Tribolium castaneum: one gene and its partner. The protein of the gene in region 1 purifies or fractionates together with the protein of each later gene. This does not show direct contact. Links are inferred from orthologs where the notes say so. Each region holds a gene or a part of one and is shown in the gene's direction. Other genes may lie near its edges.

Region 1 (4,618 bases):
CACATAACACTATTAATCCTAGGTTAAATTTTTAAAAATTCTAATCAATGCATTATTATAATTCTTAGATTTTTGTATTATATGGTGAAGAATTTATTTCTCTGAACATTACATAACAAACTTAACAGTTTAAACTTATCCTCTGTTCAGTTTTAAAAAGTCCATATCAATCCATTGCAAACAGTTCCAAAGAAACGCCTTTGTTCAGCAAAATAAAAACCTCATTGTGTAATTTGCAAAGTGAAAAGTTGGTGAAAAAAGAAAGTAAAAATTCATATCCTTCAAAATATACCAGTTAATTCACGTAAGATGACGAGCTTTGGAAAAATAAATACAACTCACAATCGTAAGTTCTTTGTCGAACATCTTCTACATTTACATTTAATTTGTTTAAAATCATATGTACAATGAATTTTAGGTTGCATTCTATGGATGTGGGGCACGTTATCTTCTTACCTGAATCAACTGGTTTAACTTGTAGTCTTTAATTATGTAAACCAATGGGTGTTTTTATAAATTTTAAGTTGAGCAATTTATTACTCGAGTAGTCAGCTGTTTCACGAGCTCCAAAAATGTTAAAAATGCGATTATCAAATTTGAATTTCAAGATTCCTTTTGCACATCTTTTTCTATGGAAGTGTCTTAATATTATATTAATATGTCCTGGAATAAATACTGTAATTGTATTGTTTTTATTTATATTTCTAAGTTAGTTGTTTCCCACTCAAGCTTTAAATGGGTCATCCTGTAGGACTCCATTACCATTATCCGTAAGAAATCGTGGAGATTTTACTGAACTAATTGGAAAATCTTTCGTAAATTAATACTCTACTAATAACAACTATAAGATAAGCGATTGAGAGTTTGATTTCATTTAATAAATTTTTAATATCAGGAGCTAATTAATTCCATTGACAATCGATCGCCCTATCTATGAAAATTTTCCTTGCCATCTTGATATGAAATAATATAGGTACATTTTTAAAAATGAGTATCCCTACACATTTATACAATTATATGAGGTCTTTTAAGGAGAATTTAATTAAATAAACTAATAAAATGGGTATTAAACTTACCAGTGCCTAACCCGATCTATAACATTCATAACCTTCTTAACATCATCTTTGGCACGACTACGAGTTTCGGCACGAATGGAGCGCGACATTTTTATTCAAAAAGTCTTTTCACGATAATTAAAATAATACAAATCTAAAGTTTATAAATTCAAAGCCATTTTTCTAAAGTATACGAAAAACAAGCGAGTGTCAAAGTGGAACAAAGACGGACCAGGAAAAGTGTGTTCGGTGGTGTAAAACGTCATTCCAAGTCACAAAAATTACTGAAACGTAGTCAAGAAAATACGCATCTTATGACAGTCTGAGCTGTAACAGTACGAAGTAAAAACACATGGTTTGTGGTTTTATTTTTTGATCGAAAGTTTCGTTAAAGACAGAGCCCTGGTGCACCGTGGTTTTGTAGTCAACGAACAAATTTGTTACGTCCTTCGACAGGCGCGTCCTCTTGCAGGCGGTGTTGAACTAGAATGTGAAATTTTCAAAAGATTTTTCGTACTTTGTGTTTTTAATTTGATTGGACTGTGGTACTGAGTTTGTTTCGAGGAAACTGTGTAGTTCTTCATTTGGGGACGGTTAAATTTTGCGAAAAGTAGATGTTGTGGTTACCGGCCGCGGTCTGCATTACCGGCATTTTTGCAGTTTCAAATCATGGCCGATTCTATCGAATTGCGTATGAGTGTTACGTCTATCAAAAGAGTTGATCCATATGTGAAAGATATTTTAGCGACTGCTACACACGTTGCTTTATACAAATTCAACACCTCGACCAACGAATGGGAGAAAACCGACACTGAAGGCGCTTTGTTTATCTACAGCAGAAATGGAGAGCCGTTTCACAGTATTATGGTTATGAACCGACTCAACACAAACAATGTGATAGAACCAATTGTGAAAGACTTTGACTATCAGATGCAAATACCGTTTCTGCTCTACAGGAATTCAAAAAGCAAAATATTTGGCATCTGGTTCTTCAACCGTGAAGAGTGTGTGCACATTACCTATTTAATTGAAACAGTGATGGAGAGTCTCAAAGACAAGTCGAACGAGAGGTCGAAGAAGCAGGAGAACGGCGTTGACATTTTCAGTCTTCTCTCGAAGGCGCAGGAAGACTTCAATAAAACGCCGACGAAGCAAGAATCGGTTCCGCCGGCGTTTTCTACACCTAGGGATTGTACTTCAAAAAGTGTTATGGACTTTTTTGCTAAAGCCAGCACCAAGTCAACACATCAAACGCCCATTGTGACGGGGGGCGACGGAGAGAACGTGTTACAGAGGCTGATGTCCAACCCGGCTCACACGGTTGAACACATTGAGAAGCAGCAGAGGTCTATCACTCCACAGGAGCAGGTAAATATTATACAGTTATGTTTAGCAATATTTTAGTTTCATTACACAAATTGTTACGTAACATATGATGCGGAATCTTGTGTAAAAAGTGGAAATATGTTTGTTGAAGAATAATTGGCAAAAGGGGGCTGTTTAATGTTTTACTTTTAGTACCATAAAAGGCAATGAAGTTTGTTTATTTACTTTATTTACCTCAATATGTCTATTTAGAAATTTTTCTTATTTTTTGTTTTAGAAAATATCGAGTAAAATCATAGACCGATCTTAGATTTGATAAGATAATATCATTTTGTATCTTGTGAGTTTTTTGGGTTTGATTTATTAAAGTTATAGTATAATATTTATTGCAATGTGGTGCAATGTGTTCTTTATTTTGATTAATTAGCTTATTATTTTCTAATTGGTGGCACTTTGTATTGACAGTATCATTTGTGTACGAAATTTGTATTTTTTCCCGATTTTTGATGACTTTTTAAAACGTTTGACATAAGTAATTTACAAAAGGGTTGATTTTGCAAATACAAGAAACACTATTATAGTATTTTAATTATACTGCTATAAACTTTTGAACTTTGAGCTGTAAACAATGTTAAGCGTAAAGGTGGTAAATAACGATATTGTTTAGATTTTTTTATATCAGAAAGTGGCAGACGCTCGAATTATTACTATTATTAGATCTTGATGTTCAGATTGTCACGGTTGATACTTGCTTATGTATTTTTTTTGACATTTATTTAATTAAAAACGTTTTTATATCCCATTTCAGTTCACAGTAGAATTTATTTTAGAATTTTAAGAGCGCATTTGAATTTTTTATAGTAAAATAAATTAGGAGTTTATGTATAGGGAAAGAATTCTTTGAGCCAAGAATACCCACCAGAAACTCTCAATTTCTCCATTTCACTCCAAAAAATGCAAATGCGGTGTTGCAAAATTCTACTATGAACTGAAATGGGATAAACTTTACTAACGGCCGGTTTACAGCAATCTAATAAAATTGAAAATAATATAATAAATATTTATTTTTACGCTATATCGCTATGTCTTAAAAGTCGTGGACAGACACTTGAGATCAGCTAGATAGAGCTGTACAAAATACTATTTTCGAAAAAAATCTCAAAACTTTTCGTTTTGAAAACACAAGACTGAAATCCAAAACAAAACATGGCAACGCCCTACAAGTACACGTGTTTTTACACGTTTAGAAAAATATTAACCAAGAGAATTACCATGATACATAGTAAACAGGGTGTCTGTTTTTCGAGCTTCAGTTGTTATTATACGAGATACGAGGTCAGTTAAATTAGGGCAAAGATGTGCATTATTATGTTAAACAATTACCTGAAAGAAAATTTAATGCCTCATTTTTAGGTTTTGAAATATTGAAAAAAATTAAAACTTTGTCATTTTGGGTTTTACCTTTTTAAGCGAAACTTAAAAGAACTAGACGTTTTTATGTAGGATAACACTTTTTTACAAGAAATCTGAATGTCATTTGCTTTTTCCAAGGCGTTCTTCATGTCAGAGTTACTACACTCAACTTTGTTGTTTTTTATGGACGCTGTATTTGATACTTGTATTTTTTAAAAGACTTTTTGTTCCTGATTACAACGATGTATCACCATAAATCTGCATGCAAGCATGTAAGATTCGATCCTATCATGTGATACATCGTTGTAAAAACACTTTTCAAAAATATAAAAAACGAATATGGCTTCCTTAAGACAAATCAAAGTTCAATGTTGTAATTCTGACATCAGGAACGCCTTGAAAAATACTATGACAGATTTAAATTCCTTGTCAAAAAAGTGTCTATAACGTCCTTAAAAACGTCGAGTTCGTATGGTTTTTGCTTGAAAAAATTAAAATAAAAATTACAAATTTCCGTTTTTTCCAATAATTCAAAAACTAAAAATAAACGTCTATTTTTCTTTCGGATAGTTGTTCAGCATAAAAATGCACAACTTTGCCCTAATTTAACCGACCTCATATCTCTTATTTTCATAAGACTAATCTTGAAGCACAAATTCAGTTTCAAAAACAATTGGCGTTAGCCACGAGTTTTTTGAAGGAATGAGTGCTTCATGGTCTTATAAAACGAGTTTTTTATACTATTTTTGTAATTTATTTCCTTTTTGCCGATTTTAAACAAAAATCGTTATTTTATTCGATTTAGGGATTTTTGTGATGATTGG
Region 2 (4,595 bases), on another chromosome or scaffold:
TGTTTACGATTTCAGTGCCTTTGAAAAATAAGTATACATTATCAGTGGTATGTAACCAGTAATACGGCTTGAGCAAAGCACAATGTGTCAAATATTAAATGGGTATTTAAATATGGAATTTAAAAGTATATTTAGTACTTTGTTTCATTACTTCCGGAAAAGAATAACATATAATTTGAAGAAGATTTATATTTGACCCAGGAAACGACGAAGTTTCGGCCACCTGTACGCAGTTCTTCCAACTAGTAATTGCAAGGTGTACCTTTATAGATTGCTGTAATAAAAAATGACACTGACAGTTCTCTAACCAAATATAAATGAATAGTGACAACATTATTATTAATTAATTCATTAATTCAACTCATTGTTTATATTTATATATCATTCAATGTCCGAATTAAACACACAAAGAACAATGACTGACCAATCATTATTTAAAACGCAGTAAGCAAATCTGCTAGTGATAACTTTGGTGTTTACAAGTGAGATTGTTACAATACTCAGGAAATTATTTATTGTACTTTATTTATTTTTGTGAAAATGAAGTATCTGTTTTTACTTTGCATTATCTGTGATTTATTTATAACAATATTGAGTTATAAGCCAGTTTTTTTACTTCATGGAATCATGACAGGAAGTGCTAGTATGGAAATAATCAAAGGTCGGATTGAGGAAGTAAGTTGTTTTTTTGCACAATGAAAAAAAAAAAATAATTATGACACCAGCAACACCCCGGTACAATAATTTACAACACTAATCGATTTTCTGGTTGGTCAAGTCTGGAAAACATGTGGTATCAAGTCCAGCAGCTTGGCCAAGATCTCCTAAACGTTTCAAGTCAACATCCTGAAGGGATACACTTATTAGGTGTGTTTTATTTTGTGGGAAAAAAACTGAAGAGTCAAATATATTGTAGGTTATTCACAAGGGGCTCTCCTTTCACGAACAATTCTACAAACATTTAACAATCACAATGTTCATAATTTTATCTCACTCAGTGGCCCCCAAGCCGGTCAGTATGGAAGTACGACCATTGTAACCAACATTGAAACATTTATAATTGTTAATAAAAATAATTTTAGCGAATTTTTTACATTTGATTTTCCCAGACTTGGCACTCAAATCAGCTTTTGAATTATTTTACTCGAGGGTAGGCCAACACACCTCAGTCGGTAATTACTGGAACGACCCTTACCACCAAACTTTATACAAAGAATATTCCCAATATTTACCATTCGTGAACAATGAAATTATTTCAAACAGAAGTGAGGAGTTCAAGAAGGGAATAACTAAACTTAACGCAATGGTGCTGATTGGGGGCCCTGATGACAACGTGATAACCCCCTGGGAGTCAAGGTATACTTCAATTTTTGTAAAATTAATAATTTTGTAAAAAATTTTTCAGTCAGTTTGGATATTTTGGCCAAAATGATACAGTGGTCAACTTAATCGATCGTGATATTTACAAGGATGATCTTATTGGACTGAAGACTTTGGATAAGGCTGGAAAATTAAAAATTATCACTGTCCCTGGTGTTAACCATTTTATGTGGCATCTCAATACCTCAATCGTCGACAATTATATTTTACCATACCTTGATTAAGTCAACACCAAACTGTAGTCAACAATTAATAAAACCTGAAAACTAGGTTGGCGCCTTTTTTTAAAGTTCGCTTGGTGCCAATATCACGACCCAAATCCACTAAAACGAATTTTTTATTTGACGTTTGACGATTTATCTTTTCTTTTTAGAGTGACTTTTAATAAGTTGGGATAAGACACACGTAAGCCCACATTTTTCAATAAATTTGTTAATTTTTGAGACGCAATATGTGCGATTTTCGTGTTTTTTATATTGAGTCCGGTTTGGTTTTTGTGTTTTTTACCACTCTTGGTTTATAGAAAATGAATTCGCCACCGCTCGCCCCTCAAGACGACGTGATCCAAAACATGTACGTATGAGCAGAAATTTGAGGTTATGTTTGAGGGAATTGGTGTTTTTGCAGCAGTTACACCGATTCTGATACGGAATATTCTGCAAAAATTGTGGGTCATGAAGTAACAGTTCAGTGTAACTCGGGACAGCATAACCATGGAAGTTCTAAAGTGAAACTTATCAATCGGATTGATTATAATTGGGAGTTTCACTATTATCGCGGACAATTGGTCGCTGTTCACATTAATGGAAAAATTATTGCTTATGGGATGAAGGGGAAAGACGGGGGCATGATCCGAGTTACGAACCAAGAGACCAACGAAAGAGCACTAATCAAAAACTTGAAAAATGATGTCAAAGACCTGTCTTTTGCTTTTTCACGCCAACAGATTATTTTAGGATGTATTGACGACGAAGGCAATGTTTTCATTTATGAAATCATTGATGAACCTAGTGCAATAAAGTATCCTTCAAAATTTTTATTAAGCAACGTAAAAAAATAAAAAAGGCCCTTAACTAGCCATTAGATACAAACAACTACTCCACATATTCCACAGTGATGTGGTCCCACATTCAAGCCCCAACTTTCGAATTATCTGGTGTCCCTACTTGACCTGTTTTGACGAGGAAGAGGAGACACCAGATGATCCTGAAAAAATGTTTGTGGTATTAAATTGGGACAAAGCCGAAATATGGAATTTTGGCATGATTAATGCAAAGTATGGGCCAGGTCCTTTACAACCAAATGAAAACTATGAGGGTTATGTTGAAATTAGCCATACTGCTGAATTGGTAGATGCTTCATTTTCGTCAGATGGGACCGCTATTGCAATTGCTTGCTTAGACGGTTATGTGAAATTTTTTCAAGTACAAAATAACGCAAAACAGGTCATTGTTCACATTTTTGGTGTTTTTAGATTTACATGGTTGACAATGAAAAGCAAAAGTGCTTGCATGAGTGGAGACCACATGATGGTAAACCACTATCTTCTATCATATTTGTCGACAATTTGCTGGAGTGCAGTTCTCAGTAAGTACATGACAAAATGATTAAATTAAAGTCGGTAAAAATATTTATTTTACAATTGGAGCCGTCTAAATGCAAATCTCGTTCTTTGTCAAAAATTCGAAAAATATTTTCTATCTGCTGCCTAATCGTTTTTTTAATTGTTTTAATTAATTTCGGTTTGCTTTAATTATGTAGGTATTTAAATTATTACAATTATTTACATAAATTAGATGTAAAACTCACTCTTTGCTCTTTGTAAATCTAAATTCCTATTTTATCCCTGAACTATCATTTATACAGCATACGACATTCAATTTTTACAGTTATAATGAAACCACATAAAGAAAAATGCTCTTTAAAAGTTATTTTAACTTTAAAAAATAGTTTTTCGCAAATATCTCAAAATTAACTCATTGTCAAAGAGTCAGTTTTGCATTTAGACGGCTCAATTGCAAATTGCATGTCAGAATAAGAAATTTAAAAACTTACAATGATATTTTTCCTGTTTGTCCTGCTGCTGAAGCAACATATTATTCAAAGACAAAATAATATTGGCTCTGACTAAAATGTTGCTGCCATTTCTCAGGTGTTGGAAATTCACAATAACGGGTGCGAATCACAACTCTGAGCTAAAGTTGTGGTCTTGTGAAACGTGGACTTGTCTCCAGACAATCCATTTCAAACCAGATCCATCGAATCTAATCCAAAGTGTTTATCTTAAAATGAGTATAGACTACTCGGGTCAGTATTTATTAATGTCCGATCTAAACAATAAAGTTTTATACGTCCTGCAATTAAAACGAAGCGATGAAGCTCAACAAATATCAGTAACAATGATATCGCAATTTTTACTACCAACTGCCTTTTTGAGCTTCCACATAACCGAAGCCAACTGTCGCAAATTACGTTCGTCCGATATGAGTGAAGAGTTTTCACAAGATGCCGATCAAGATGACGATGATGAAGACGATACTGTTGCAGCTGTTGTTATCAAAATGTTGGTGATTCAGCAGAAAAAATTCCAAGAGTGTAATATTGTATTTCAACCAGATGCGATGTTGTGTAATACTGAGATTATATTTAATGAAATTAAAGAGGAATTGGAGAAAGTGCCAAAATTGGACGATCTTCAGTCATCCGTTACTTTATTAATAAAACAACAGCAACAGCAACAATTAACTTTGATGACTCCTGACGCTTTTACAACAGCTGAACAAAACTCTCGTCCTAATAGTGTCAGAACTAGCATCAATGGTGATATTAATAAATCAACCGAAGGCACAAATGGCGATACTGTTGAGAATTTGATTGATTTTCAAAGACCTGAAAAGGATAATTTTGCAAGTGGAGGTTCTAGTCCTAGTAGAGAAGTTCAGGAAATTCTATCTCTTAACAATTCAACGTACAGCACTCAGGACTATTTCGATAATTTAACGAAAATGCAAGAAGAACAAGAAATACCCCAGAAGGAGTACAAACATAACGAAAATCTCATGTACCAAGAGAACCCCAATCCTGAAATGGTTTGGCTGAAACTACCTCTAGTTAAGAAAGATAATGAGATAAATAAAGAAGATAACCTAAGACTGGGAGGCGGAGACGAGATAACAAATTTGAACGAAACAGAATGGGACAAAAACCAGTGGCAA

Evidence for each region.
Region 2: the proteins of DCP1 (region 1) and Ge-1 purify together in Drosophila melanogaster (affinity purification with western blotting; 4 studies listed by BioGRID). This does not show direct contact. The link is inferred for Tribolium castaneum from reciprocal best matches to the Drosophila melanogaster genes DCP1 and Ge-1.

The regions. Positions count from the first base shown.
Region 1 is NC_087395.1:13,737,658-13,742,275, reverse strand, and holds the start of DCP1 (mRNA-decapping enzyme 1B), read left to right. Parts: upstream 1-1,530; 5' UTR 1,531-1,724; coding exon 1,725-2,423; intron 2,424-4,618. Other genes in the region: BCL7-like (B-cell CLL/lymphoma 7 protein family member A), read right to left, coding at 1,077-1,165.
Region 2 is NC_087398.1:143,736-148,330, reverse strand, and holds the start of Ge-1 (enhancer of mRNA-decapping protein 4), read left to right. Parts: upstream 1-1,649; 5' UTR 1,650-1,785; intron 1,786-1,903; 5' UTR 1,904-1,906; coding exon 1,907-1,953; intron 1,954-2,007; coding exon 2,008-2,400; intron 2,401-2,464; coding exon 2,465-2,804; intron 2,805-2,854; coding exon 2,855-2,967; intron 2,968-3,532; coding exon 3,533-4,595. Other genes in the region: lysosomal thioesterase PPT2 homolog, read left to right, coding at 541-675, 726-867, 917-1,024, 1,083-1,356, 1,406-1,604. UniProt on the Drosophila melanogaster protein: In the process of mRNA degradation, seems to play a role in mRNA decapping. Required for silencing a subset of endogenous miRNA targets.